3 linked regions of the Lonchura striata genome follow. The protein of the gene in region 3 binds, or shares a complex with, the protein of the main gene of each other region. Links are inferred from orthologs where the notes say so. Each region holds a gene or a part of one and is shown on either strand. Other genes may lie near its edges. The genes, in order: CNOT9, CNOT8 and CNOT11.

Region 1 (10,686 bases), on a different chromosome or scaffold from region 3:
ACGGAAAGAGGTAATAATTGGTCGACTAAGGAATGTTGTCAATTTTAGATTTGAAAACTGAACATGTCTAATCTCACCACTGTATATACAGCCTCGAGTTTTTAGAGTGAGATTGCCTTTAAGGTAACATGCAGAATTTGTTTTGGGATGTCAGAAATAGTCTCCCTCAGGGCAATAATATAAGTATATTCACAGAGATAACAAACTAAATTAAAGCTAGTAGATACACCATGAAATCTGGGGAGAAAAAGAACAAAAATATTTTGAAGGAAAACAACTTCTGGGAGAAAGTCTGTGAAAATTACACAAAAATATGAGCAGAATTCCACAAATTCAGTAACTTTATTCTGACATAAACCTGGAACATCTGCTTTACAATGTACACATTTGGCTGAAGTCTGCTAAACCCATTAAGACCTATGCTGACTAACGCATGGTCACACACATGTAAGGTGTTTGGCATAAAACAAAGGGAAATTCAGAACTATATGAGAAGCAAGTCTCAGTCACGTACTTTCCATTTCTACTTCTATGCCTAAAAGCCCATATATGAAGAGCACAGTCTGACTTCCATAGCCAGACACTGACCTTCCTTACTCATACAGATGTCTCCTCACAAACAAGATACAGCATTGCCCACCACTCCATACTCATCTATTTCAAGCTCTCTACATTACAAACACTTTGGATGTAAAGTTTTTATAGTGTCATTACATCATAAAGAGAATGAGAGAACAGAAGAAAATTAGAGAAGAAAAATTTTAACAGTTTAACAAACCTGGTTCTCTATGTAAGAGAATTGCCTGTTAGCTTCCTTCTGTGTGGTCCTGCTGCCCAGCACACCTCCAAAACTGCCAGAACCTTGTGAGGGTTTCCCAGCTGACAGAAAAAATAGACAATATTCAAGCTGATTGTCATTTAATTGACTGGGATTTTTATTTGCAAAATGTTTAGCTGGAGTTGATTTTGGAAAGGGCATGCCAGAGTTCTTGCCAACAGACTACAATATTACGAATGCACAGACATAAGCACGTGTTTATGAATATCCCTCATACTGGTCATTTAGCCACTTGGCAGCAAACTTCCTATCCTTAAAAAAAAAAGCAAAGTAAAATAAAAAGAGACTGTGTATGGGCAATTAACAACCTTTCAAATACCAACACACAACGTAAAAAATTCCCTATGTTAATCTCTGATTATTGTTCAGCTGAGAAAGGTATAAAACAAAATATGGGGTTTGAGGCCAGAAAGAAGCATTTACAGAAGTGCAAAGAAAGCCAGGAACACAGGGACAAAATGTGCTGAAGATGTGTGCTGGCTTTGGCTGGAGGAGAGTTAATTTTCTTCACAGTAGCAATGATAAGGCTGTTTTGGATTTGTCCTGGAAATAGTGCTGATAAGAGAGATGTTATAGTTATTGCTGAGCTCTGCTCACAAAGAGTCAAGGCCTTTTCTGCTGCTCACATCACCCCTCAGGAAGCAGAGGCTGCACAGAAAGGCAGGAGGGGACACAGACAGGACAGCTGACCCCAAATGACCACAGGGATATCCCACACCGTGTGGCATCATGGTCAGTGCATAAAGCTGGGGAAGAAGTGAGGGAGGCACAGTGATGGTGTTTGTCTTCTCAAGTCACCATGACACAGGTAGAGTACTGCTTTCTTGGAGATGGCTGAACACTTGCTTGCCCACAGGGAGTGGTGAGTGAATTCCTCATTTGTTTGCTTGCGTGCACAGCTCTCGCTTCACTTACTAAACTGTCTTTGTGCCTGCCCACAAGTTTCCTCATTTTCACTTTCTCATTTTATTCCCTACCCCACTAGGAAGACTGAGTGAGCAGATGCTTGGGGCTTAGCTGTTGTTGGATATGGTTAAACCACGATAAGATGGGAAAAAGAGAACACAACACCTCTCCATAATGTTATAACATGACTTACAACAATTGCACTTACCAGTATGAACCTTGTCTTGATGGACTGCATCCAAATACATCCGCATTTCATTTGCATCTTTAAAAGGTACCTTATCAATTGTCAGAAAGCTGGTATCCTTTAGTGTTAGCATCAGGCAGCACAGTTTTCTGCCATTTGGTCGTAAGGTCACTGTTTTAATGTTATGGCTTAACTGAAAACAAGAAAGTGACTATAAGCATAAATCCACCCTTAAAAGCCCAAAATACTTACAAATTCAAACAAAAGATTTCAAATAGACAGGATAAGAGACTCCCACCAAAATACTTCTCCTTGCTCCACTTCAAGGAAACATTAAACCTCATAAAATTAATACAATCTGTGACCTTGGCATCTGACAGAACTGTAAGGACAGTGTCACTATTGCTTAACAGTCTCTAGAGATAAGCTTTCTGAAACTTGCTTTTCTACTCAGTGTAACATCTGTAAGTGTAAAGGAAAAACAACTTCACGAAGTCCCAATTGGTAAAAACCTCCACATCAAGAGCAAAATACAATTTAGGATGGGGAAAGTTTCAAGTATTAAACACAAATATTTCACTTCACAATTTGCTCCCAAAGAAGACAGATTTAAAAAAATCTGCTGAGGAGGTAAGTCAGTAAGAAACATGCTTACTCTGTATGCAACATCTTAACAATTAAGTGATGACAAAACCTTCAGGGTTATGGTTGAGCACAAAAATAATTTTAATAAGACTTTGTGCTTCCTAATGATGCCACTGCTATTTTGTAATATAATAACCTTACTTGTGTTTCATGCTAAGTCACCTACAAAAACTGGCTGTTGGGTAAAGTTCTACTACTCGTGCAAGTGGAGGGCAGCTCAAAAAGACTGAGATAGTAAAAGACACTTCATGCCCAAGAACAAGATTTTTTTTTTTTTCAATTTAGATCTCTAGCTTCTTGGAAAACCAATCTAGACACAACAGCAGCTTGTAAGAGGGGCTGAAAAACCACCTTGATCAGTAACTATGGGTTTGTTTTAATGTGAGCATTACACTTCTGAAACACATTGTGCTCAATCCTTGTATTTTGGGTTTGGCTTTTTTGTTGGGATTTTTTAAAAATATAAGCTAAAAATACCTTCAAAGACCTAAGAATTGAATAATAGGCTCCAAGTTTTCCATGCTGTTGAAACACTTGAGTCCAGTGCAAAGGGATTACAATTATTTCACCATCTCAGAGCAAAACAACCCATTTCAACTCAAAATGCTGTCAGAGGACTCCATCCATAGTTTCGGCAGGTGTGGGGAAACAAAGTAATTCTCTTAATACTACCTAGGACAACTTAGTTAAAGCTCTGAAACATCTCCAAGACATCATTTAACAGAATAAATTCGATGGCACACTAGTCACCGTAGAAAGAAACATAATATCGGCTCCATCCAAACCTTCCATTACAGAAAACTAAAAACAGGCAGGAAGCTCACTCACAGTCCTCTCAGAGCAGCTCGTCAAAAAAACAGGGAATGCTACTTCTACAGCAAGATCATCAGGAATTTGTCACACCTGAAGTGGCATGCCAACAGCCTGGGGATGTCTCACACAAACTACCCTTCAGCACAAGCCTCCTCCTCCTCCTTTGCTGCAGTCTCAGGTGCATGGTTGCTTATCACCCTGTCTGCTAGATCCTGCATTCAGTCCTTTCCCCAAATTTCTGTGAAAACCCTCCACTGAGCTCACAAAGAGATCTGACAAGTGACAGAGACAGCAGACATGAGAGGCTGGGAAGAAAACCTGCCCCTTTAGGCCATGGTTAGCTGTTCTGTAGGCTCATCCTCCCTGTGGAACCTCCCTGTGAGTTGCTGTCACACCACATCACTCATCAGGCAGAAAGGAGTGTGTGAGAACAGGCACCCAGGGAATGCACAAGGGGAAGACAAAACTGCTCTCCTCAGGAGCAACATGGTCCAACAGTGGATTAAACGAAACCTGCAGCCACAGCAGCACACCTGAGAAGGCAGAGACTCTTTGCAAGTCTGCAGTAACACAGGTGGGAGCAATCATAGCTAATGATTTCCTGACAGCCTTGATTTCCAGGCAACACCAGCTGCCAGACTCTTGGCTGAGACTTTTAAGGACACTAAGGCAGCAAAAAACTAACTTTTCAAAAAGAAATTAACTTTTTTTTTTCATAGCATCTGCACACACAGAAATAAATGGCTCAGAGAACAGCCTGGTGAACATTACTGACAAAAAACAAGAGTGGTGTGAAAAAGCAGAAGCCAACATATAGATCACTTTAGGCCATTGCAAAGTTGCTAAACAAACTGGGATCTTTTTTTCCTCCAACTGCTCTTATGTCAATTACATATTTTTAAAACAGGTATGTGTTTCTTATAGAAAAATCACTCTGCTTTTGATTTGGGGCATTTTGCACAAAATCTAGGAAGACTGACCTGAAAACAACTATAGAATGAGAAAAAATTTAGCTGAATATTTCAAGAGTATTTTTAACAGTGATCTACATCTGCATTAAAAACCTACAACAGCCATAACAAGTAATGTTCAGCAAAGTCTGAACATTAGGTGTATTAACATCATTACACCTCAGCTGGGGAAACAGCTAATATAAAATGGTCAGGATCTTCTCTAGAGAATGCAAATGTGCCAGTAAGAGAAAGGTCACAGGATCCAAAAATCTGAAATGTGAACCACGATGCTCTATACTTCTGTAACTTTTTTCTGCTTTTTTGGTCCTTCCCATTCAGTGGTATCTCAATGCCAACCTTGGTAGAGCCTTTAACAATACGTGTAAATAATTTACTGGAGAGTTATACAAAGGGATTAGTGTTCAGGAAACGAGGAACAAGAAACAGTGACAGAGGGAAGTCTGCAGGACACTTAATAGCCTTGAAGAGGACAGCTGTTCACAAGAGAGCACAATCCATGCACTGTTAAAACAAAAGCCTTAATGTCTGGCATACCTGAAACGTGGTTGGAATTCCTCCAACATTGTAGTGAACTACTAGATTCACTTTGTTGTCCTTCTCCACAATTTCAAAGCTCCCTTCTTTCCATTTCGTAATCCCAGTCTGCATGCTGCGCATCCGGACAGGTCCGTGCACCTTTAACAGAGCCATGCTTTCTCACAGAAAAGAGCTAACAACAGTAAGTGTGCTCCACCTTAAAAACCTGTTAAAAAGGAGAAATGTATAACTTTGTGGGCCAAATAATGGCTAAAGGAAGATGGAAGCATGGCTTGAACATTCCGTAGAAGTTTGGTAGAACCGTTTCACTGATTTTAAACGCAGTGAGGAAGAGCGGGACGGCACTGTAGAAAACTCAGATTAATAAAATCTCTCCCAGTATGAACAGCAGTGCACCGACTCCTTACTGCTGAAAGGTGAGCAGACAGAATTCCAGACACAAAAGTCCTTAAAATCCCTTAACTTCACCGGATTTAAGGTAAGGGAGGGAAAAAAAGCGCCTGAGGAAAGATAGCAAGAGATGGGAAACAGAGTTTTGGAGGAGGACTCCAGATTAAGAAAACGAGCTCGTTCCTGACGGCGCGGGACCCGCGGCCACCTGGCAGGGCCGGGACGGAGGTCTCCGGCTTCCCCCGCTGCTCCCCGCGCGGAAAGCCACGAGCCCGGGGCGACAGAGCCCCGGCTGCGTTCCGGAGAGCACGGCGAGGCGCGTTCCCGACAGATCCCGGCGGGAATGAATGGAGCGGCCCCTGCGCGCAGCCCGGGCGGCGCTGCCGGGGAGCCTCCCCCGGCCATCCCGCGCTCAGCCGCCGCCGCTCCCCGCCCGACCCGGCGGTGTCCCGGCTCCTCCCGGGCCTGGCCGCGCTCCGCTTCCGCCGCTCACACACACGGTGAGCGCGGCAGCGCCGCCCGCCCCGGGCCGGGCCGCTCGGAGGGCAGGCGGTGACCGCGCGGCGGGAGGGGCGGACGGCCGGCGGGAGCGGGTAGGAGTCGGCGGCGGCGCTGCGCGGTGGCGGCGCTGCCCGGTACCTGCGGTGCCCGGTACCTGCGTCCCGGCGCGTCCCGGCGCGTCCCGCGGGGCCCGGGGCGAGGCCCGGGGGGGGCGGGGGAAGGGGCGGCGGATGGCGGGAACCGGCCGCACAGCGCGAGACCGCGCGCAACGCGCGCCCGCTCACGTCAGCGCGGCAGCGCCTTCCCGGCGCGCCCCGCGCGCGCCCGCCCCGCGCGCAGGCGCCGGCCCCGCCCGGGCCCGTCCCGGCGTGCCCCGCGCGGCCGGGGAGGGGCGGCGGCGGCGCCGAGCCCATGGCGGCGGCAGCGTGAGGCGGCTCCGCTCCCACCGGCCACCATGCACAGCCTGGCCACGGCCGCGGTGAGCCGACCGCCCACGGGACCGTGTCGGGGATGGGGCCGCGTTGCGCGGACCGTGCGGGGAGCGGGAGCGCGGCTGCTTGCGGCGCGGGGGGAGCTTGAGGCCGTGCGGTGGCGGAGCCCCGGTGAGCTCCGCGCCCGCGGCGTCACTGGCGCGGTCCGTTCGGCAGCTGCCGAGCTCCGGCTGCTCCGTGCGGGGCTCGTCCGGGGCCCGGAGGTTTCGCTGCCGCTGGGTGAGCCGGCTGTGCCTCGTGTGCCTCACGTATGGCGTTCCCCCTTCCCCCTGCCTGCCGCGCTGCCTCCTGCAGCGAGTCAGGGCTTTGGGGTTCCTTAGAGAACCACTAGCAAAGGTGTCGGCAAAAGCACGTTTGATACAAAAGCAGAAGCGTGACAAATTTTGTTGGTAGGGTTTGCTCTACTTTTAAAGAAGCACATCGAAGAAAAGCAGACGAAAGTCTAAAACGGATTAATCTACAGCCAAAATAAATCCAAAAAATTATTATCCGCTGAGTGTGTGGAGGGGGAAGAGCAGGGAAGAAAATGGTAAGGACAGGAGAAGGTAGGACAAGAAGGGATAAGGAAGACCCTCCCGCTGAAGCAAAATATTCAGAGTACATTTTCTTTAAGTGGCCTTAAAACACTTATCTGCAACACCTCCTGCGTGCCCAGCCACCTCCTCTGCCTTCTGGGGAGCTGTTTTACTGCTGGCCTTGACTGCAGAGAGAAAGAGTAGACGGTGAAAAGCCCCTCATGGCAGCAGGTGCTGCCTGCTCCTGCTTCCCTTTGTCCCGTGGCAGTGCAGCACCGGCCACAGCTGGTGCTTGCCCTCTTCCTCCTCAGGAACCTGCCATGGCTGGATACGGTGCCTGATGCTCGGGCTGGCAGGACTGGAACAGTACCTTGGCCTGGGTGGGTTCAAAAATGGAAGCGGAGTTTGAAGGATGTGGTTATTGCTTTGTATCTCCCACGTGATTGGGTTTGTGTTTTGGTTTTTTCTTCTCCAAATGCTCGTTCATGGCATGTGAAAGACTTCCTAGAGCTGATTGAGTCTTGTGTGTACTGAGTGTGGGAGGTGTAATGCAAAGCCAGCAGATAGAGCTGTTTCACATGAACTTAGATCGAGGGTCTGGTTGGACTGCCAAGCTAATGAGTAAGTAAAGTTTTGATGAACAGGAGTTAAAGAACTTTTTACATTTCTCCTCTGTTTAAATGCTTATGACTTTAACTAGTTCTTGGAGTGCTGTCAAATACTTCTGATTTTAAGTACTGTTCTCCAGAACATGGAAGGGTGTGCCAGATCAGGTAAACTTTCTTAATCAGCGTTTACATTTTTATAGCACTGTAATTCTTTAGTGTTTGTTAAAATGCATGAAGGACTCCCATTAGGCATATCTCCCATTAATCCTGTGTCTAGTTACCTCTCCTTTTTAAAGACAATTTTAACAAAAAAAAAATTTCAGAATAGAGAGCAACTTTATTTTAGGACTCACTTGAATGTATATTTAATTTATGCATAGTTTATGCTAACTGGTAGTTCTGTATTGAAATGTTTCCTACCACAGTCAGTGAGCTTAGACTTTGGCTCAGCAGGACTTTTACCACTGTGCCTAGCAGCAGCTGCTCAATTAGGAGGAGAAAGCCTTTTGTGTAAATCAATTTGTTATGTCAGCATTAGAGATGTCTTTTCTCCAAGAAGGAGAAAAGATGTTACAAGATTTTTTTCTGATCTAATACTGTTTATAAGTTTTGTTTTCCCTGTGTGCAAAAGAAAGTCTACCTGGTGGGGTTCTGTCCTGGAGCTTGGAAGATCTGTGTGGCTTTCAGGGTTCCCCAGAATTTTGGGTCTTAGAGGGAGAAGAAGAAACAATAATGAAATAGGGAATTAGGGGGAAGAAAAAAAGTCCATATAAACTAAAACAAAAAGAGCAACTGTAGGGCCTATGAAAAGCAATTTGTTCTGGCTAAGGCATATATTGGACATCATAAACTTGTGTGGAAAATCTACTTAGTGTTCTCTAGGGATCACAAGCACATGATTGTGCTTTTAAGGGGTCGATGTATTTAAGCTTACAGGAACTGAAACTTCCAGTGAGTCTAGAAAAATAGATGGAAGCTTTAGATAACACAATTATAACAACATTATTGCTACAGTGCTTGTCAATCCACCATCCCACATAAAAACAAATGAGCTCTGTTCATTCTCCCTCTCTTTTTGAGCTTCAGTGTAGAAGTTAGCATTGCAATTGCAGTCACAATTGTAGGGGCACAAGAAACTTGGCAGGATCATTAATTTAGTTTGAGATTTTGGGGAAAAAAAATTAGAAATTGAGTAGGTGAGTGTCCTGGTTCTGGTTATGCCCAGAACAGAGTTATTTTTTGCATTAGATGGGAAGAAGCATAGCTAGGCTCCAGAGTTTATTCTGAACCACCTCACATCATTTTTCAGAGAGGGAGAAAGGACTTGATTTGAGCTTGGGGCTGCATGGCCCAGGAAGCAGTTGGTATTGTAGGGGGAATTCTGTGGGGTGAGCAGTAACTTTTCTTTTCTTGTACCCTCTGTCACTAATATTAGTTAGTTTTCTTATGTCATTGCTGTTCCCAGTAAATTGTTGCTATCTCAACCTGTGATATTTACCTTTTGTGCCCCCATTCCCCTTTCCATCTTGGAGCAGGGGGACTGGGACTGGAAAGAGAGAGGGAGTGAGTGGCAAGTGGTTTGGAATGGTTTCAGTGGGAATACTAAATTGGAGAATACCATTCTTAAGCCATGACAGTGAGAGAAAAGAGGACAGGAGGAAATATGAACAGCTAAAAAAGTATTTGAGCCCTAGAATAGAGGGACTGATAACACCACATTGGTTTACGTATGAACATTTACGTTAAATAATACAATGGAGGTGGATGGAGCAGAGAGAAATCTCACAGCTGGGGAAGAATGTCTTTGGATGTGACTGTGGAAATAAAACGGGGATAAACAGAGGAGGGAAACCTCTGCAGGCATAGAGGAAGAAAGCTGTTGGTGTCTGGCAAAGGTTGAGAACTCTCTCCATCCCTCCTGCATACCTTCTGGGACTGCCTCTGCCATGTGGCTTCAGGTTTCGCTGCAGCCACTTTCAGTTCCTGAGCTCCCCTGTATTCTGTGTGTCTCAGTGCTAAGCAGCTTGGTGACAGCGTTGCTGTCACTGTGGTATGCGCTCTGCATGCATCTGTTGTGGGGAGCACATGAAGAGTTTCAGTTGGGGTTACAAAATAAAGAAATACAGTCCTGTTCCCAGCTGGGATCACCGTGCACAGTGGGATGGAGAGCTGGTTGCATGCTGGCTGGGCTGTCTCAGGAGCAGCAAGTACCAACAGGACTGTGCTTAGCTTTAATAACAACCACTGCAACAGTGTTTGAAAAGGTTCTGACCTGGTTCTGGAAATGTTCACACAGGTTTTAGTGATGGTTTTTGTCTTCCTCAAAATTTTGTATCTGAGTTGCCAAATTATCTCCTTAGGAAATCTGCAGAGCATTTGTTTGCACCGAGTGCTGCTTGTGCCAGCAGAGGCAGGAGACAAAGTTTCAGTGAAGGGCTTGTGCCTTGCCTTCTCCACAGAAATTACGCTACAGTCCCTCTTCTCCATCATTTTTTTTGTGTTGAGAACTTGTTGATCTTGATACTGTTATTTCCCTGATGTTTCAAGAGAGGCAAAAGCAAAATTTTACTTTCCCTTGAGTAGTAGAAAATGTGTCTTGGCCAGGAATACTGATCTACCCTTCTCTGGGTTTATTTTGAACAGGAAACATATCATCCTGAGATCTTGCACAAATTAATTCTTGAAAAATTCCCTTTTAGCTCCATGCATGTGAACAATGAACCTGGTATCAATACAAGCCATTGGTAACAGCAGCTGTTACTGCCTGTGGCCAATGTCATACTGATGGTGAAGTAGTGAAATTTTTTCTAGTGTTTGTATGAATATTTTTCTCATGTGTATTGGATGAATCTCACTGGCAGTTTCCAATATCATGGGTGTTTGTGGCTAGGAAAAGGTAAGCTCTGCCTTATTCTGAATCTGTGGAATCTTGCACTTGAAGCATGAAATAAATTCATGCTAAATGCAGGTGGAACAAATCATAGCTGGCTGAAATGTATGTTGCTTCCCAGGAGCTCTGCTAGCACAGCTGGGCAGCAGCTTGGCTCTCAGTGCTGAATGAAGTTACAGTGGTACTGCTTGACAAGGGGATTAAGAGAGATTGTTTTAATCATTCAGGCCAGGAAATAAAGCCCTAGAATTTCAATAGGTGAAATACTAAGACTAATCTAAGGAAGGGGTGGAGCCATATCCAGGACGTCTTAATAGAGCTTTAGGTCCTGCCCTCCCAGGAATTTCTTTTTCTGTCAGATTGTGGGGACAGTTTGGGTGAGAACTGGATT
Region 2 (10,484 bases), on a different chromosome or scaffold from region 3:
TGCTCCATTCCAGCTTTCTTAACAGGTTGTTCAGAGCTTTGAACAGTTGAGTGTCTGCACAGAGGGAGATTTCACAGCTTCTCTGGGAAATCAGTTCCAGTATTTGACAACCTTCACTGTCAGTTTTTTCCACTTGGAATTTTTTTGATTATAACTCCTATTATTTGCTCTTAGGCTGTGCACATCCCTATCTTTACAACCACCCAGCAGGGAGCTGAGAAGAGCAATATCCAATTATTCTGCTGGGACAGTAAAGTAAATAGTGCTGGCCATAGTTTTCTGTGGTTAAAGAGATTATTCTGCTCTGATGACTTTGTAGCAGACAACATTAGATGAGGAGAGGCAGATGTGAAAGGGGAACCTCACTGAGCTGGAAGGCTGATGCTCCAGAGGTTCCTCCATCCAGCAGAGCTGACTCAAACCTGCTGAACCTTTGCATGTGAAGAGCTCCAGAGCAGAGCACTGTAGAAAACGTGACTGCTTTAAGTTTTTAGAAGAAGGAGCTATTACTTGATTGAGTTACATATTCTTGCATTTAGTAAAGAGTCAGAATTACAATCACATTTCTAGTACCCTTTTTAAAATTATCAATTTATGACAGAAGGCTGGCTTGGGCAAAGATTTCCAGTTCAAAGCAGAGCTGCCACATCTGCTTACCCTCTGTTTCAGAAGATTGCCTTTATTAAGCCACTTTTCAGGATAAAATTTTACATTTACATTAAACCCAGAAAAAAATTGGAGTAGGTTTTCCCCAACATCTCATTACCTACTCTTTTTTTATTGTGTAATGTCTCTCCTCATTCAGAATGCACCAAATACATTAAAAAAACATTCATGTAACCATGGCTGTTTCAGCAAACAAAAAAGCCATTCAGCTGCTTGGCACTGCTCTCATGTTGGCATATTTTACAGCCCCAAATCAACCACTGAAGCTCTCAGCTGCCTGTAGCTATTTCCAAATATCAGCTATAACTACTACTGCTTTAAAAAAAGTTCCTTTCCCGTTATTTTGAATTAGTTAACACAAAATTTGATCCAAAGCAAATTCTCAACCCTGGAGTAAAAGTAATTGCCTTTCTAATCAGTCTTTTGACATTAAAGGGGAAACATACACTAGTCAATCAAGAATTGTAATACATTTTTTAATATTATTATTTCCATGTGTAACTTAATTTGCCCAAAAACTGTTCATTAAGTCATAGATCTTGTTTTCACTGAATTTTTCACTTTTGGTACTGTAAAAAAGCTAGCTTGTCTAAGTCATGTTTTAAAATGCTCAATATAATACATAGTATAATGCTCAATACAATCTGAGTAGAATCTGAAAAAAACCCTGCTGTATTTGTTACTTTTTTTTTGTTTACATGTAAATTATTATTTATGCCCCATGCCTGCAGTTCTGTTTTCCTTCTGGTGCCCAGAAAGCCTCAAGCTGAGGCAGCACAGGTGCCCCTTCCCTGTACTGCACCCACTGCACTGCGTCCTTCTGTGCACGGCAGACACAGCTCAGAACAGCTCCATCTGAGGTGATGGACTGGCTGCCCACCCCAGCTCCCTGGGATTCCCTGTGCCTTCCTCCTGAAGTCTCTGGTGTAGGTCTTACTTCACTGAAATCAACCTTTATATGGCACAGACAGTGGAAAATTGTTCCTGGGAGAACAAAGGCTGTGACTATCCACAGAAGTACAGAACATACAGAACAAAAAACACAGGACCACTTACCTGGTCACCTGAACAGCCGCATTTCTGTGTAGAGAGACACAGGACCAGAAGTGGTGTTTGATGTCCTACCAAGCACTGCACAGTTTTAGGGGAACCCCTGTTCCTAGAAAAGCTGACAATGGACTTCACACAGACATGACACTGCCTTTTAATGACTTCCTCAAAGTCTCTATCATATCTTTTCAAGCACCCTTGAACTCTGGCTGCCTGTTCTTTCTCACCACCTGCCTGATGGTAGCCTAGGAGAGGTCCTTTTTGTCTGTTCAGAGCAGAGTTCAGCTCCTCACTTTTCACATCTCCTGTCGAAACTTTATGAGGGTTTAGGCAAGGGCAATAGGGGTGTGTTTCCAAGCAGGAGCTGCCTGTCCCCTCCCAGACAAGTCATGTGAAGCCAGTGCCATGTCACTGTTAGTGCTGGCACTGTTCCCCATGTCTATGTGCATGCTGTTACTCAGTTAAGCACGTGGAATACACTGATTCTGCAGGTAAGTTTTTCATCGTTGTACCTGAGAACAAAAAATCCACCAACACCCCTAAAAGTAAGTAGTTTTTATAATTCACCAACTCATGGCTGGAGCACAAAATAGCTACTGCCAGTGCAACTGAATGGGTCAAAGGTATTTGTTAAAATCAGTAAGGGTTACTGTGGAATTTGGCAAAAACCCAGCAGTCCAGATTTAATCCTGTTGTACTAAATCTAAAAATTACTCCAACTCTGTTGCTACACAGTGCCCTCAACCAGTAACAGGCTTTGCTTGCATGGCTAAGATGAAGACACACATAGGTTAGCATGTACTTGGGCTCAGTTGTCTTTAAGCATGTTGTTTACAGACCATAAAGTGTGTAATTATGGTATTGCAGAGAGCAAGATGTAATTTACAGCGGCATCGATCTTTCTTATGCAAATGTGGCCCCAATCTGTTACTCAGCCCATAAATAGTGCCCTATTGCAAACTAAGCTCTGAGAACTGAGCGTGTTACTATCATAACTCTCCAGATCTATTTTTCACAGGAGGAAAAACAGGGAATACTACCTCTGCCTCCCAGTTATCCTTGTTTGCCCTTCTCAGGTGAAGCAACACATGCTTTTTCTCAGTAACACCTAGTTCCAGCAGAGCTGGAACTGCAGAGAGCTCTGCAAGAGTGAACAGTGTTTAACACTGTTACTGCTTCCATCATCACTTTTTCTTGCCTAGTTCCAACTATTCCCTGGTAGGGACAGAAACTGTAGTTCTTAGCTGTTGCTACTAATTGGTATTTATCACACAGAGCAGGCTCAACAGAGAGGAATGTGATTCCTTCAAACTATTTACTCACGAAGAGGAGGAAGTGGAAATGAGCATCTCAAGAGAGGGGTGCCATAAGGATAACGTCCTCACTGATCTTTGGATGTGAGCTTGCAGGGGGAGGGCTGTTCAACCAACAGCCAATAGTGAATTTCAGACCTCAGTGTTCCTTGTGAACCACTGCTCAATTCCAGCATGGGTGATCTCTGAAATATTCATACCCATAGGGACAACTCAGCACATTAGTCATAGGGTTGTAAGTGCCATTGAACTTCTGCTGCAATTGTGTGTCTAGCACAGGTTGTCACTGATCAAACTGCTGCTTCTGCCTGCTGGCTGCCCTGCGCTGGTGTCTCTGCCACAGACACTCCAATGCTGCTGCAATCTTTGCTGAGCCATGCAAGAAGTCTGATTCCTTCTCAGCAAAAAAAGCTTTTTGATCAGACACTTCCTAACACAACTTTGTTCACTCCCCAGAGTTTTTGTAATAAGCACTGGTTGTTTCACTGTTTGAGAGGAACATCAGGGGGAAATCTATGAAGTATCTTTCAGGGGACTGGACAAGCCCATACTGATAGTTCCTCAAAAGGCTGAAGAGGAATCTGAACTTGGCACACATCACCCACTGCCTAATTCCCTGCATTCTGAACCAGATCTCTCACCCTCTGCCAGGGCACGTGTGCCACCACCTAGCACTGCAGTGCTTTGGGAGCACTTGTGGAACAACAGAAGGCTGAGGAAAACATAAATTCACCTTTCAGGGTTCCCACAAGGAAGGTTTCTTGTGGTGCTGTGAGTAAGCTCTAAAGAAAAGGCACAACAGGACATGCAGCTCCAGCTGCCCAGTGTGAAAACATTGAGCTAAAGACCTTTATTCCACCTTATAATGCAGCTCTACACTCGTATGTAGATGTGAGGACTCTTCAAGACTTGCTTTGGAGTGCTGGAGCTGGAAGCAACCTTGGTAACCTCCAAATACAGAAATGATGGGACTTTTTAAAGAGCAGGGTGCCTCTTCCAGCTATTCTGAATCTTTATTAGCCATGTCATGTTTGAAAAAAATTCTGATTTCTTCGAGCAAACTGTGTCTCCAGTGCTTGCAAACATCTCTGAACAGCTTTGTTTTACAGACAAATTTTTACACACTACAAATGTAATTTATCACAGGTGATTATTGCCTGCAACATTTTTTATTACAGTACCAAGGCACAGATATTTACAGTGGCCTGAGGAGATGCATCCTCCCTTTTCCCCTCGATTCAACATCCCTTCAAGCACCAGGTTTACGAGCAAGAAAAATGTCTCTGAACTCTTCTGGGAAATAAAAATTTCATCTTATATTTACAGGGTGCTGTAATCCAGCCTGCTGAATTTACCTGCTAACAACACAGATTTCCTTGTACAAAACCCCAGACTCAAATGACCACAGGAAGAAAGGTGGTTACTTTCTGGCAGTGTAGCATATTGCATGTTGCATAAATTGCACAACACCAGAGACTGCAGAGATAAGGCAAAACAGTAACTTTCTATCATCCCTGAAGATAAAACTCTGAATCAAAATAATGCGCAATAAAGGGAATGTACCAAGATGCTGACAGCAGCAAGGTCACTCAACACAGCAACTCTTGAAAAACCCTCTTCTTTTCTAACGGCAACATTTCTGCTGAGGCATGAACATAAAACCTGAGACATTGAATGGTGTCTGATGTGTGAAAGATACCAATATCTGCTTTTCCAGATACTTTGATCAAAATGCTGGGCAAGTAGCCGAGATTCAGGGAAAGACTCCCATATGGTGGGCAGACAATCCAGTACCAGAACATATATATTTATAGAGGCACATATTTTAGAGATATTTTATAGATGCAGATTATAATCTATATATATATAGATATATAATCTATATATCTAGATATATAGGTTATATATATCTATATATTATCTAGATATACAGCTATATCTATAATCTAGGTATATAATTTATTGATTATATATTTTATTTATATTTTAATATATATTTTACAAAAGATGCAACCCCGTCCAGAAGGACGGCAGTCTAAAATAAAGGAAATACGATCTAAGTTTAATTAGTAGACGAGCTTCCAAATGAATTGCCTATGTACCATCAGCATCAGCCAGCAAAGCCGTGTTACACAACCAGTATCTGCTTTACCAGCTACAACCTTCTGTTGCTAACGTAATGTAAATTCCACTCCTGGAACAGAAGCCTATAAGTCTGCAGGTGTAGTAGTAGGGACTTAAATGACTTCTAAGCCCCTGCAGGAAGAAGCAGAACTTGCTCCATTAATAAGCTTAATACGCACTACACCGTAGGAGCAACGCGTGCCAGGCCAGCAGCTTCAGGAAATCCCCTTGGAACACAAACCCTCATCCCGCTCCCACCCTGCGCGCCCGCGGCCTGGGAGCCCGGGGGGGCTCGGGCCTCACCCCGACCGGGACCCCCTCACCTCCCCTTGCTCAGGGAGGGGCGGCCGCTGCTTCTTTCGGGGACGCTCAGCCGGGGCCCGGCGCAGCCCCTGTCCCAAGGGATCGGGGTGCCGGGGGCTCCCCATGCTGGAAGCCCACCGCAGCCCCGGCGGGCGTTATGGCGACGCCTCCCTCAGGGAGCGGAGACACCCAGCTCCTTCATCCCTCCCCCCTCCGCCCGCGGAGTTTGGACTCGCCCGCCATTCTCAGCGCGGGGAGCCCGGGCGAGCCCACTGCGGGAGCGGGGGGAGGGGGGGGAAGCACCAGCCGGTGTGGGCTGGGCAGATGTACCCGCCCCGTCGCGCGCTCCGCCACGTCTCGCGAGAGGCAAAGCGGCGCGAGCGGCGGAAGCGCCGCCCCTCGCGGCGGGGCACTCGGAGCCGGCGCGGGGCGGGAGCGGCGCGTCCCGGCCGCGGCTGCCGGGAGGTACCGGGGAGCGGGGCGGGCACCGGCACTGCCACCGGCACCGGCACTGCCACCGGCACTGCCACCGGCACCGCCACCGGCACCGCCACCGCGGCTGCGGGGCCGCGCCTGGCGCTGGGCTTCGGCGGGCGGCGGCCCTCCCGCTTGCCGGCCGCGCTGAGCCGCGTCCGGCCGCCCGCGGGCTGTGAGGGGCCCTGAGGCGACCCGGGCCGCGCCGCGGCGGTGCGCTCGTCCCTGCGCTGGCGCAGGCCGCTCGCAGACGCCTGGCGGCGGTTCGCCGGGGTTTTTATTACGGGAAAGCGGCACCAGCCGGTGGCTCGCCCGAGCTGGGGCGCTGCTGGCGCTGCCGGTGGTTCCAGCCGGAACAGCCCGCCGCAGTGTGCCCCGAGTCACAGCCCAGGGGGAAGAAGCCCAGAATGGGTTGGGAGGGACCGCAGTGGGTTACCTGGTTCAACCTCCCTGCTCAAGTGTGGTCATCCCAGAGTATGTGGTACAGGATTGTGTCCAGGCCATTCTGGAAAATCTCCATTGAGGCAGCCTCCAAAACCTCTCTGGGCAAGCTGTTCCCGTGCCCGGTCCCTGCACAGTTTTTGCTCATATTCTTCCTCATGTTCAGAGGAAACTTCTGTGCATGACTTGCTGCCCATTGACTCTTGTTCTGTCGCTTGGCATCACGAAGATGAGCCCGGCTCCATCTTCTTAGCACCCCCTTTAGATATTTCTACCCCTTGAAACTCCATCCAATGAGTATTCTCTCTAATGCATTCTGTTACTGTGTTTAAACAATTGTCTTCATCATAGAATCACAGTGGGGTTTGGATTGGAGAGGACCTTCAAGATCATCTCATTCCTCCCCCCAGCTGTGGGCAGGGACACCTTCCACTAGACCAGGGTGCTCAGAGCTCCATCCAGCCTGGCCCTGAACACTTCCAGGGATGGAGAAATATCCCTGGAGTGAGGGTTGAGAGTTACAGATGAGGATTCCCTGCCTGTACGTCTTGTGCCCTAAGTGTCAAAGCTTATGCCAGGAAAAGGAAGATAGGAGTAATGATTCTACTGGACTGTTGATTGTGCATCTACTTTTATATTGTGAACAAATGCTCTTGATTTCATTCAGCATGTTCACAGAAAGTGATAAAGCAGGAAAACTTGGTGTAAACTTTAAACAGGTTGTTTGAAGGTGAAAATGGTAGTGTGACTGACTCCTACAGCTCATTTATTCACATGTTATTCTTCCTTCACTTAAAGCATTATTTATTTATCTCTTTAATGCAGCACACTGATAAGATTGCACAGCTTGTGATCCTGCACTGTCATTTGAGTTCAGCATCAGCTGCCTTTTTTCTGGTCCCTGCAAGATGCCAGCAGCCCTTGCAGAAAACAGCCAGGTTATCTGTGAAGTATGGGCCAACAACCTGGAGGAAGAGATGAGGAAAATTCGGGAGATTGTTCTGAGTTACAGCTACATTGCCATGGTAAATGTTTTATACTTGACCTAATTGCCTTAGTCAAGGGATTTTTTGGGGTTGTGGACTAAGTTGATTCTTGAGTGAGAAATGTTTCTTCCTACCCCCTGAAAATTTGAACTAAAAGAGGTGAAAAAATAAAAAGCTGTTTGGTAGCTTTTCAGAATTTAATACAAGCGGTGATGAGTATGGGTTGATTGAAAGAAGGGGAAGAAGGAGACTAACTTAAAAACGTGAATTTATTTAATATTTAGCTATTCAGAGTGTATTCATTTGTGCAGCAGGAAAATTAAACAAGTAACAATTGGGTTTAAATCCTTATTTTTCCACCAGTGTGTTTGTCCTTTGAATGTTTTTCTTCATTTGATTATAGATGATGCTATGGGAGTGGTGGTCAAAAGGCTTGCAAGTCACTGCTAGCAGCTGGGCTGCCTCCTTTCAAATGAAGGCAGATGTTGATTCTTAGGGAAGAAAAATATTCTGGCTGTAGATAAGACAATATGTTCAGAAAGCTTTATTTAAGAAGAGCATAATCTCCCCTAGGTGGGAGGAATCTCCTCCTGCTCTTACAAGTCTGTATCTGCTTGGCAGCACCCCAGTGTGTTAGATAAAGAACTGGTTTTAGCTGTGGTACTGTAAGTTCTGCCAGCTTTGCTTAGGAGCACTGAACCTCAAAATCTGAAAAGTCCTCATTAAAATGTGGCAAAAGACAGGTGCCTTTGCAGAGTGTGGGGGATTTTGGTGTCAAATTCAGCTGTGGAAGTGAGTATGATTTTTTTGTTAACATTTGTCAATGGGAAATGAACTTTTTGCTTCTTTTCAGTCTCACTGGAGGTGTTCTTAGGGTTTGTTTGAGTGACTGTGCTGTATGAGTAGACAGATAAACTTCTTGGGCAAGGGAGAGATTATGTCAGGTGCACAGCACTGGCTTCATTGTGAAAGATTTTGTGTGTAGTCAGCAGAAGCTCAGTGACCCAGTCTGAGGGTAGGAACAGCGGCAGTTTGGTGTTCAGCACAGACTGCACACAGTCACTGGCTGGGTAAGAGGTTTTTCACCTAACAGATGGTTTTTATCTGATAGGTGGCTGCTGTTGTTGAGGTGTGTTTGACTGACAGCAGTTTTTGTTAATGTGGGCATTGACTGTTCCTCAGAAGCTGTGAAGGTTTTCACTGTCTGGGCTGCCCTCACAGAGTGGTAATAATGACTGCTGACAGAATCCATGGTGAAACTCAGTTTTCCCTTCTCTGCCAGGACACGGAGTTCCCTGGAGTCGTTGTCAGGCCAATCGGTGAATTCCGCAGCTCCATAGATTATCAGTACCAGCTCCTTCGCTGTAACGTTGACCTGCTGAAAATCATCCAGCTGGGCCTGACTTTCACAAATGAGAAGGGGGAATACCCTTCTGGCATTAACACCTGGCAGTTCAACTTCAAATTCAACCTCACGTGAGTCTTTGGGCTTGGCATTAATTTCCTGTTCTTTCTGCTGGAGTGATGCTTTCCTTTGGCAAATACCAGTGTCCATGTGCTCATCACTGCTGGCTGCTTCTGAGCAATAAGGATTCAGATTCTAGTACAGACTGTGTGGGAACCTAGTTTGGAGTGCCAGGAGTTAACAGTGTATCTGGAAGTCAAAGCCATGCTAAAATTCTATCCTCATTATCTTTTCTCTTAATAATTTTGTGTGCCTTTTTTTCCTGGAACAATGTTTGAAACTTCATTTATATATATATCTATGTAAAACTCCATCTCTTTCTGCTAAAAATAAATGGATGTGCTAGTCTCATCAAAAAGAAAAAGACGTCTTTACAGATCCATGCTTAAGTATAAGCTGGGATCTAAAAACATGTTGGTGTAATCATCACATCTGTTCAGGAGAATGAATCTTGTTAAATGGAGTGTGGCAGTTCTTGTCTCCTCCATACTGTAATATCCTGGGCTGCAGCTGAAACAAGTTTCATTATCCCTTCCCCTGTAATTATAGAGATAAACTCAGCATAATTACCACTGAAGCTGTCTGGAAATAAAGAAAGGGTTTATCTGGCAAAACCACATACGTAGAGGAAATCAATCTATTTTTATGAAACTGTTATTGGAAAGAATTACAAAAATTTGTAGCTATGTGCAGATCATCCAGTTCTTGACCCCAAAAGTTGCACTATTTACTCCGCAAATTGTGAGCTTCTTACAAGTATTGAAATCAGAGTGAAGTGGCTCTGTGATCACTTAATTTATGAGTTGTCATAAATGAATATGAGTTATCATATTGATAGAACTTGGCTCTATGTGTTTTCTCTCCCTCAAATGACACAAACCAGTAAAGAAGTCAGGTTCCTGCTCAGCTCTCCACCAAACACATGATTCTTGTCCTTCTTGAGTCAAGGATGATGCAATTCTGTTTACTCCCAGAGATGGAAGCGAAGTGCTGATAAGGTGGTACATGCTGTGGAGTGAAAAGGAAAAATGTAGACTGGAATGCTGGCCAATGCTTTAGAGCTGCACATCTTCCTGTTTGGGAGAACTCCCCTTTCCTCTGGGCCTCATCTGTGGTGCTTCCCTTTACCTTGCAGAAGGGACATTGTTCGAAACAGTCAGTTTCAGTCCTATGGAGGTGGAATCTTTAGAATTTGCACTAGCAATGGTAGTGTTAACGAGTTAACTAGTTAGACTGATCACAGAACTGCTTATTATGGATGTAGGAGTCTGCAGTAGTGGTATTGAAACTGAGCCAGTTTGAAATTTCTAGAGAGACAAACTGGAACCGGGAGTTATCCTACTGGTTACTCCAATTCTTGACATAGTGTGGGGAGAATTTTTCTAAAATGAGCTTGTCTTGGCAGCACCCTGAGTGCAAACTTGCTTGTTTTTTTTCCTTCAGGGAAGACATGTACTCTCAGGATTCCATAGACCTCCTTGCCAGTTCTGGGCTGCAGTTCCAGAAGCATGAGGAAGAAGGGATTGATACCCTGCATTTTGCCGAGTTGCTGATGACGTCGGGTGTCGTCCTCAGTGACAGTGTGAAATGGCTGTCCTTCCACAGGTGGGTCTGGATGCTTACTGACCCTGCTAAATCTCCTCTTAATTTTCTGCATTTTCT
Region 3 (10,181 bases):
AGGTCAATTACTCCCCCATCAAATAAGGGTTAGCAGACAAACACTGAGGAACACTTTGCCAGGAGACCCATCCCTGCAGCTAGGAGAAAATTACTTTTTTGGATAGGGTAGCACACCAGGTGAACAAAAACATATTGTAGGGCAGAACCAAAGTTTGAATTAGCTCTCTGCAGACCACAGGGAAGAGAGAACAAAACAAGTGTTAATACTCATGCCCAAGATGCTTGATCCCAGCATTCTATTTTTCTTTTGAGGGGTTGTGGTGTAAAACCTTAAAACCAAAAAAGAAAATCAAAAATAGAAAATCCACCTTAGAGTTGCAAATAAACTGTCACAGTGAGCTCAGATTCAGAGGATAAGTGTTTTCATTTTCTTTACAAAAAAAGGATTGGGAAAGATAAACTGATAAAAAATTTGAATGTTTTCTAAATTATTTCATTTGATTTTGCTAAAGTAAGTCAAACTCATCCTACTCTGAACAGCCCAGAACTCATCTCAAGGACCATACTTCTAAAAAGCTACCAAGTGTTATATTATAGCTGTGACATTCTGTACATCCTGGGGAAAGGGTGTAAACAAAACACCTCAAACATTGCATCTTAGTGTCATCATCCTGCACCAGCTTCATTCTGCCTATTGAAGCATTAGGAGAAATATACTGAAGACTAGTGAAAAAATCATAGACTTTCCAAAACACAACAAACAGAAGAAGCATCATAATTTTAAAACAAGTAAAATATTTATCTTCTAAGAAAGTGATTAGAAAGCAGATAGTTATTCTGGGGCCCTACAGCAATAAGTCTGAGAAAGACAGCACAGAGCTTTTTCAGATGCAGCTGGTTTTGTTACATAACTTCTACAACTGCTTGTAAGCAACTGTGCACATTTACTGGCTTATGTAAACAATTATATAAATTTTATACAAGCACCATTAATGACTTTCTATTCTACTTTCAGCCATCATTATCTTCTATTTTAAAGTACAGTATGTGGCCTAGAGCATACATTCACCAAACCACAGTTTTGAGGTTGCCCAGAGAAGCTGTGGATTCCCATCCATGGAAATGTCCAAGTCCAGACTGGATGGGGCTTCAAGCAACCTGGACTACTGAAGGTGTTCATGCCCACAGTGGGTGAAGGAGGAAGTAGATGATTTTTATGGTCTTTTCCAACCCAACCCATTCTGTGATTCAATTATTTCATCTTTAATGAGAACAAACTATTTGGAAGGCAAACACAGTATCAAGGGGAAAACAAATAAAAGCACCTTGAGGTTTCTAAAGGCATCACATATGCCTTGGACTAAAAAAATGACAAATTACCCAAGCAAAATTTTAATTTGCTAATTCGTAGTCTACAAAATACAGACAGGATGAACACAAGAAGGACCAGAAAAGTTTGTTCACAATGGCGTGTTAAGGTGTTCGATTTGCATTTTCAAATTATCCCAGTCTGTAAATAGCAGCTAAGGAGGACCTCACAAGACATAAAGGACAGTATACCACAGCTTTACCAGTCAATGTCAGAGGCCACAGAAAAAAAAAAAATAAAATTACAATACCAAGATAAAACTGCAGGACACAGAAAATATAAATGGATATAAATGGTGCCCAACCTCAGAGCAATAAATCACATTGTACAGACACAGATCTGGAATGGTTAGTTTTCAAGCAAGCAGGTCTACTCCAACATACCAAGGGAAAAAGGATTTTTTTTTTCTGTTTAAACTGGTTCCTTGTTTCCAACAATGTATAATATTTCATCTTCACTCCAAATGTGACATGAACAGTCATGTCCCTCCTGTTCTCCTGTCAAAGGATAAGCATCACATTGCTTTTCTTTTCAATCTAGTAAAACTGGATTCCAACTCTTGAGCTAACACTGCAAGGCCTAACTTTGCAGTAAACCGAAGATATAATTGTAATAGTCAATTTTCCAGGTACAGCTGAAGTACTGGTATGTAATAGCATGACAGTTATGCTTGTTCTGTCATAATAGAAATACTGCAGAGGGTGAAAAGGGATGAAAATACAAAAAAACCCCACACAAACAACTAAAACAAAGCAAAAAAAAAAACCACTAAAAACGTCCCACCCTGAAAAACTCATCCCCCCCCCCAAAAAAAAAAAACACTCCTCATAGCTTTAGATTGAAATCTTCCTATACTTGCAAAATATTCTTGTATTTAAGGCAATTACATATATGCTTTAAAATTTACTTGTTAAGGAGGATAAAACAGTTAGGATGTAATGTCTGCCTGAAGTTTCTCTAAGTGCTTGAACACAGGCTTGAAGACCCTGAAGCATAGTTCAAACTTGTCCATATTCAGGACAAAAAGGTGTTTCTCAGGTGGCCCACAGTCACATTCCAATGAGACCTTCCATCCCCAAGAGCACCACAGCCACAAACCTTCCTTACCTGCTAATGCCAGCTGCAGCCCACTGATGTCCACCGACTGGGCCATGTTCCCCACATCCATTGCAGCAATCTGCCGAGGAGTCTTCTTGAACAGCTCTCTAGGAGGGGCCAACATCAGTTGTGAAAGAAAGAATTTCTCTGGAGGAGTTATGGGAGGTAAGAAGCCTGTGGAGACACAGTGAAAATCCATGGCTTTTAATGCAGGAGCATTAACAGTTTCTGTGCTCTTCCTGTATAACAAGCAAAACTAAGACAAACTGATCTGTTATTTATGACAAGGTAGGTGCAGCTGGAGAGTGTGTGACACACACAGAACTGTTTTAATGCAAAATACAGCACTACGTGATCAGTATTCTGCATGATGACAGCCACACCTGATGCTCACTCGGGTTCATTCACACAATTTCCAATCCAGACAAAAAGTGAGCTATTAAGTATGACCTGACATTGAAATTCACAGAATCAGAGAATGGCCTGGGTCGGAAAAGACATTAAGGACTATCTAGTTCCCATCCTCTGCCATGAGCAGGGACAGCCATCCCTAGGCCAGGTTGCTCCAAGCTCCATCTAACCTGGCCTTGAACATTACAGGGATGGGGCTTCCACAGCTTCTCTGGGTAGCCTGTTCCAGTGCTCCAGCCCTCTAACCAACTTGGTGGTTCTCTCTGTAGTCTCTCCAACAGGTTATTTTTTTTAGAAACTGCTTTACTCAACACTGGTAGTGTCATATTTACTGAAGAGGAAAAAAGTGTTTCACTCTCATGTATTTCTCTCTAACAGTTTTGTTTCACAGCTTTAAGGCCGTCAGAAGCCTCCTATCACCTCCAGCTTTTTGTGACTGCTTTCTCCCCAAAAAATTCCACGTTATCACAGAATCAATTAGGTTGGAAAAGACCCCCGAGATCATCGAGCCTGACCTATGACTGAACACTGCCATGTCAATTACACCAGGGCACTGAGTGCCACGTCCAGTTTTTCCTTAAACACCTCTAAGGATGGTGACTGCACCACCTCCCTGGACAGACCATTCCAATGTCTAATCACCCTTTCTGTGAAGGACTCCTTAATCCAACGCAAACCTCCCGTGGCTCAGCTTTACACTATGTCCTCTTGTCCTGTCGCTGGTTGCTTGGGAGAAGAGGCCGACCGCCACCTGGCTACAGCCTCCCTCCTTTCAGGCGGTTGTGGAGAGCGGAAAGTGGCCGAGCCTCCTCCTCTCCAAGCTAAACAGCCCCAGCCCCCTCAGGCAGCTGTAGAGAGCTACGAGGTCCAAGCAAGGGCCTGGCCGGCACCAAGCCCCCGCCGGCAGGACTCGCTCTCCCCAGGAGGGTTACAGCGCCGGGCCGCCCCGCTCCCCGCCGGCCGGGACACACCTGAGAGCGGGGTGCGCTCCGCCTCGTCGCCGCCGCGCTCGGGCGCGGGGTTGAGGAGGTGGGCGAAGACGGCGGCGAAGGGGTTGGCGGCGAGGGGCTCGGTGCGGTACATCTCCCAGAGCAGGTAGAGCGCGGTGAGGCGCTGCGCGGGGCTGGGCAGCAGGTCGGGCTGCTGCAGCAGCAGGACGAGCACGGAGCCCAGCCGGAAGTGCTCGGCCTTCCCGAAGTAGTGGTGGAAGGCGCTGGAGAGCCCCTCGAAGGTGCTGCCGCCCGCCTCCTCCGACACGATGCTCAGCAGGCTCGACAGCTCCTTCGGCGACAGGCTCATCCTGCCGCCCGCCGCCGCCTCGCCCGCCTCCGCCGCCGCCTGCGTGCCGGGCGCCGGGCTGCCCCCGCCCCCGGGCATCCGACCGCGACCGCCGCCGCTCCGGGCCCGGCGCTCCCCGCCGGCCGCGCTTTACGGCGCTGCCGCGAAAGGCGCCGGCGGCGTGCCGGGCTGCGGGGCGGCGCGCGCGGCCGGGAGGGCCGGGATTGGTCCGGGCCGCCCGGCGGGGGCGGCCATTGGCCCGGGCGGCGGCTGCGCGCGCTCCCGGCAGGGGCCGGCAGGGGGCGCCCGGCGGCGCGCGACGCTGCCTGCGCTGTCCCCGTGCGTCGCGGCGGGGCCGCGCCATGGCGGCGGGGCCGCGGCGGCGGGGCTGCGCCGGGAGCCCGTGCTGGGAGCCCGTGCTGGGAGCCCGTGCTGGGAGCCCGTGCTGGGAGCCTGCTCTCGGAGCCTACGCCGGGAGCCCGTGCTGGGAGCCCTGCGCCTGGAGCCCGCGCCTCCCGGGCCGGGGCCGCTCCCGGCCGCGGAGGAGCCCCCGCGCCCTGCCCGGCTGCGGGGCCGGGGGTGCTCTCGTGGCCGAGGAACACCTCATGGCCGCAGCACTTACACCGCGGATTGGGCCATTGAAGGGTCCGGAGCACAAGTTGCATGAGGAGCAGCTGAGGCTGCTGGGGTTGTTGAACCGGGAGAAAAGGAGGCTCAGCGGGGATCTTAACACTCTCTACAACATCCTCAAAGGAGGTTGTATCCCGGTGGGGGCCAGGCTCTTCTCTCAGGTAACCGGCGACAGGATGAGAGAACAGAGCATCAAGAGACACCAGGGGAGGTTTAGGTTGGACATTAGGGATTTCTTCACAATAAGGGTGATTTATACATTGGAATGGGCTGCCCAGGGAGGTGGCAGAGTCACTATCCTTGGAAGTATTTAAAGAAAGACTGGATATGGCCCTTAGTGCCCCAGTGTAGTTGATAAGGTGGTGTGCAGTCACAGGTTGATTCAATGATCTCAGAAATCCTTTCAATCTAACTGATTCTGCAGGGCTTATGTTCATCCTTATCTTCCATGGTCCAGTGCAGTTGAGACTATCCACTTTGCTGGTGGGGCTCTCAGCAGAGCTGGAGGGTGGTGGGCTGCAGTAATGTGTGCCTGGGAGTCAGGGATTGAAGCACATCCCTCTGAAGTGTGATGATGTTTCATTGGCTTATCTTGTGGAAGTACATCTTGTGGGACAGCAAGTCACTGGCTTAACCAGAAGTGCTGAGGTCATGGCCTGGAGGAAGGGCTTTCTGTGGAATGTGCTGAGAGGAGAAGACCTTAGGAAGTCCTGAGAACAGGCATTGATTCTTCTAGTAGTAGTATTCCTCCCAACTCACCCAGCCCTAAGGATCTTGGTTTTCCAGACAGCAATACATGTGTAAAAGATGGGATTCAGTTTCTAAAGTAATATAAACTGAAGGCTTGTGTAGATCAAGTAATGCAGGTGTTCTCTATTTCACATTTCTGGTGTGAAAGAAACCCAGATCCCAGAGGTGTAAAGGATTAATGTACATATAGAGTTGGTTAAAAAGGATGGGTCTGTGAGGAAAACAAGGTCTACAGCCAGGCAAGGCAAGATATGAAAGCCTTGCTGACAGAGCAGTTACCAGCGGACTGGATCACAGCGAGAAGTCTGCTTGCAACATATGCTGCTAGAAGAGTAAAGCAGATGGAAGAGGATGCCAGTGAACTCCCTGACCTGGCCAAGGGTATTCAAGGAAACAAAGCATTATTTGGAAGTTTAGGCCAATTTAGAGTTTACTAACAACTGCAACAATTACTTTAATTGTAAGATTTAGGAAGAAGATGAAAGCATTGCAGATAGCTGAGGAAGTAAACTATGTATGTGTGTGGTAGAGCTAGATGGAAAACTTGGGAAAGCAGAGGCCTCAGACCAACCAGCAGGTTTTCTGTTTCTAGTGTGCTGACAAAAGTTGCATTTGTTCATTTTCGGCCTGAAGTTTATGGATAGAAATGATCACATCTAAAATTGTGCCTTATATTGAGGGATGGCTTGCTGGGTGGATTAGCACCCAAACAAACCTTGATGCTTTTGTCCGGGTGATCTTTTTTGTACAGCCTGCTCCTAATAACAAACTCTGCTGAAGACAGCAGAGCTAAAAGAATAAATATGTTTAGAAAGAGAAAGCTGCTTCTTCTTTTCCTGTAGATTTCAGAATCATACTTCGCTCTTTGATGTTGTGCTTACTGGAATAATGGATGCAGAACTGCAGAAATGGACTTTAGAGAAATAAAAACTTTCCTTGATGACTGAGATAGCAAAAAAATTGTATTACTCAAATGTGCTCACTAATGCAGCCATATGGAAGCATTCAATACAAATTAAAAGGTTTTGTCAGAACAGGAAAGCTAACAATTTAGAAGATGGAATTCTTATTAGGAAGTGGGATAGGCACGAGCATCAGTTGACAAAGGGAATTTTGAAGTCACAAAGATTTTAAAACAGATTACCATTTCAGGGTAGGAAAAACCTTAATCCAAAAAAAAAAAAAAAAGCAACAAAAAAAACCCCAAAAACCAAAAAAAAAAAAACACCCATGAGTGTAAAATGGTCTTGGGACAGGAAGTGTAGTAAGTAAAATAGTGTTTCTGTGACTGCACAGGGCACTGTATTTTGCGTACACATGGGTGTATTGGACATCCTTGGGCTCAAAACTTGTGTAACGAAGAAGCGAGAGTGTGTTGTACTAGTGCAGACTCAGATAAAAGAAATTCTTGGCCAGATCTGAAATGGATTGCATTATACTCAGGGAGCAAGGTTGGGACCCCAGTTCCCTTGGTGGGCCAGGGGGATGAGTTCTGCAGGAGATGTCTCAGTGCAACACAGTCTCATGGCATAAAAGGAAGACTTCAGTTTTCTCCCTTTGCAGAACAATGCCTCTGGGTGCAGGCTGAGCATACTCCATTTCTTTTAGATGGCCTGTGGAATAGCTATTAAATGGTCAATATAAGCATAAAATACACCTGTCATTTTTTATGTTTGACTTTAAGGAAGAACCTCAGTAAAAAACATGCTTTGAGGTGCTAGAGAGGAATAAAGAGATTGGGGCTGTACTTAAGTTTCTGATTCTCATGCCCCTTGTGTAACCCTGTTCTGTTGGCTCAAACATGCTAATACATATTAGCCCAGACACAGAGATCCCAGACTAGAAGTGATAAAGGCAATCTAGTTTGGCAGGTTACTCTTTGCAAATACAAATAAAGCTTTACAAAATAATTGGGCTGTTAGAATGCAATTGATGTAGTATTTAAAAGAACATCAGCTTTTGATGACTTGTAATTGTTGCTGGAAAATTAGATTCACAACCAAAGGAGAACAATCAGATTTGATTTCCGGAGCTAAGGGCAAGGCTATGCAATTTAACTGTAGGAGTCCTCTTTCCTTCTTTCCTTCTTAAAATTTATGATATTATTTACTATTGTATTTTTTATTGTTTACTATTGTATTTTAGATGACACATAAGAAACACAGGCTACATTGCAGGTACTATAAAAAAATCCTAATGAGGGATAGATAGAAAAAGACAACATTTGGAAGGAGCAATAAAAGTATTAAAAAACTATCCAGCCAGTATTTTAGCTTCTTCTAGCAAAGAGGCTAAATACTCAGGAAACAACTTCCAACAGCCTATCTTTTATCCCCACAGTTCATTTAGGAGGGACACAGTAGGAAAGAATTAAGTCACACCTTAAAGTCAACGGGTGAATTAAAACTCTTCCAGATTGTTCTGTTTATTCTCATGAGAATTCTCTCTTGTAAACAAATTCCTTTCCATAGTAGTTAAAGTGACCCATCCTGTCTACAGTGTATTTTAAATAGCAGCATATCAGAGAAAGGAAGGAGAATATGCATTCTGTGTACATCTCTTTATGTGTATCTTTCTAGCAACAGTTAAATGTTTTCTTCCTAGTTCATCTTTTCATTTCAAAATATGAGACAGGACCACCAATACGGAAACAGATTTTGTTATTCCTGGAGTAATCAACAATATTGGCATGCTAACAATACCTAAAAGTCTTCCTGAGTAACTGTATGAGAATACATCTTCACTTGTTAACTCTCTTAAGCTGCCAAGGTATCTTGGATACAGCTTGAAAAGCACTTAAGAAACACCAAAAATATCATTGCATTAATGGCTTCATAAGTGCTGAATACTGAGTGGCTTAGAAATAAACATGGTCATTGCTGCAAGTTTTAGTGAGGTCTCTGCATTTTAAGCCACATGTGATCACACCTGTAAATTAATGTTAGTCCACTCTCTTGATTATTTGAGTGTTGGATGCTCCCAGAAGAGACAGAGCTTTGGCCCAATTAGATTTATGGTGAAACTCCAACAGGGACATATTGGCACGTAAAAGCAGCATAAAGTATTGCTATTTGCATATGTGTCTTTGGATAGACTCTTCTTCTGACAAGGAAGCCCTTTCCTGATCACTTAGAAACTCTTTTTCCTTCAAAAACTGTTTGAAGCAAAATAATATTCTCATTTTTCCTTTTTTTATTGCTCTTTTTTTAGATAGGATTTTTTAAAAATCCATTTGTAATTTAAAAATATCTAAGCATATGTTCTGTGTAGAAACATTCAGTCTGTGCATTGCTTGGGAAGTCTTCACTGTGAACTTTAATTTGAGCACTCAGCATTTTTAATTTGAGCTATGCAATTACATATCTGATACAAATGGAACTATTTCCGTTCCCTGACTCCATGACTTGATTTATGCCTTATGGTTCTGTTTTCATCCAAAATCAATTTAAGTAGAATCTTTATTTTTGCAGATAAAATTGCAGGAGGAAGTGATTTATGTTTAAGGTACAAATTTGAAATCCACCTTCTGAAAGAATATTCAATAATTCTGAACTGATTAGAAAGCTCTTGTCCAGGAAGTGGGAGATTCGGGTTTTCTTCATCTCCCTACAGGGGTTTAAACTCCAGCCCAGGCTATGGCTATTAGGAGTAGAGGGGAGTGTTTATCTCCTTTGGCTGAAGTTATTTTTCTTTCTTTACAGGCATTAAAGATTCACCACAAGAGGAAGGGAGAAAAAGCAGGATCTGATGGATTTAATGGAGTGTGACATTCAGGATTGTGGGTGGTCTGTGTTGTAGTCCTTCTTCAGAAAAAAGGCAAATGTGCACTATAGCAATCAGGTGTAAAAGCATACAAATACATGTGTGAAGGGAATAGAAATCTGTTGCACCTCTTGCCTGCTTAAATTCCCAGCCATTGGGAGAGTCACTTCTTCCCAGTCTTTCCCTTTAGAAAGAAAATTTTAAAATTTAGTAAGGAATCTCTCTTAGTCTCATATGCATACTTTCATATGATAATATACTTTCAGTGGCACAGCTTCACACATTTGCCTGTATCCTGAATTCCATGTCATTCATTTTTTCATGTTCAGGTATGTTTCTAACACCCAGTGAGCTCCTTCAAGGGCTTTCTATCCCAGTGCCTACAAAGTTTCTCTTTTGCCTTTTATTTCCTTTTAAGTATGTTGCACATTCTCAAAGTGTCTTGTTATTCATCCCATCTCCTGGTTTATGCTGAAAGCTTTTAAATGTGTTTTAATGATGCATAACAGCAATATAATAAGCATAATAGCATGCTATTGATTTTCATTTGAAACACCGACATTTGAACATTTCAATAGCCTTTTAACAGTGTGTATATTTAATGTGATTTAAAGACAAGACAAATGCAATGCAATATGTCTCTACTAAAAAAAGTCACATTGTCTGTTTCCTGACTCTCTTTTCCCCTCTCCTGCAATCTTTTTAGCAATCATCCACATTGGAAAAATGTAATTTTCAGTGTTTTTTAAAAAGTAATAATACTACTAATAATTTCATTTTCTCATGCCATAATACTTGGTATGAGAAAATAAAAGGGAAAATAAAAAAATCTCAGTATCCAGACACAGTTTTGCTTATCTGTTTTGATCACAACAAAGATATCAATGATCCACATCCAGTGAGTGCTGCCAGAGAACACAGTGAGTTAGCTCTGGACTGAA

The links.
Region 1: CNOT11 (region 3) and CNOT9 share a complex: the UniProt entries of both Homo sapiens proteins name them as parts of the CCR4-NOT complex. The link is inferred for Lonchura striata from reciprocal best matches to the Homo sapiens genes CNOT11 and CNOT9.
Region 2: CNOT11 (region 3) and CNOT8 share a complex: the UniProt entries of both Homo sapiens proteins name them as parts of the CCR4-NOT complex. The link is inferred for Lonchura striata from reciprocal best matches to the Homo sapiens genes CNOT11 and CNOT8.

The regions. Positions count from the first base shown.
Region 1 is NC_134610.1:15,625,350-15,636,035, forward strand, and holds the start of CNOT9 (CCR4-NOT transcription complex subunit 9), read left to right. Parts: upstream 1-6,169; 5' UTR 6,170-6,245; coding exon 6,246-6,269; intron 6,270-10,686. Other genes in the region: USP37 (ubiquitin carboxyl-terminal hydrolase 37), read right to left, coding at 779-879, 1,953-2,124, 4,898-5,053. UniProt on the Homo sapiens protein: Component of the CCR4-NOT complex which is one of the major cellular mRNA deadenylases and is linked to various cellular processes including bulk mRNA degradation, miRNA-mediated repression, translational repression during translational initiation and general transcription regulation.
Region 2 is NC_134617.1:5,119,124-5,129,607, reverse strand, and holds the start of CNOT8 (CCR4-NOT transcription complex subunit 8), read left to right. Parts: upstream 1-5,834; 5' UTR 5,835-5,921; intron 5,922-7,196; 5' UTR 7,197-7,279; coding exon 7,280-7,396; intron 7,397-8,639; coding exon 8,640-8,833; intron 8,834-10,265; coding exon 10,266-10,427; intron 10,428-10,484. UniProt on the Homo sapiens protein: Has 3'-5' poly(A) exoribonuclease activity for synthetic poly(A) RNA substrate. Its function seems to be partially redundant with that of CNOT7.
Region 3 is NC_134604.1:87,468,279-87,478,459, reverse strand, and holds the start of CNOT11 (CCR4-NOT transcription complex subunit 11), read right to left. Parts: upstream 4,198-10,181; coding exon 3,792-4,197; intron 2,584-3,791; coding exon 2,419-2,583; intron 1-2,418. UniProt on the Homo sapiens protein: Component of the CCR4-NOT complex which is one of the major cellular mRNA deadenylases and is linked to various cellular processes including bulk mRNA degradation, miRNA-mediated repression, translational repression during translational initiation and general transcription regulation.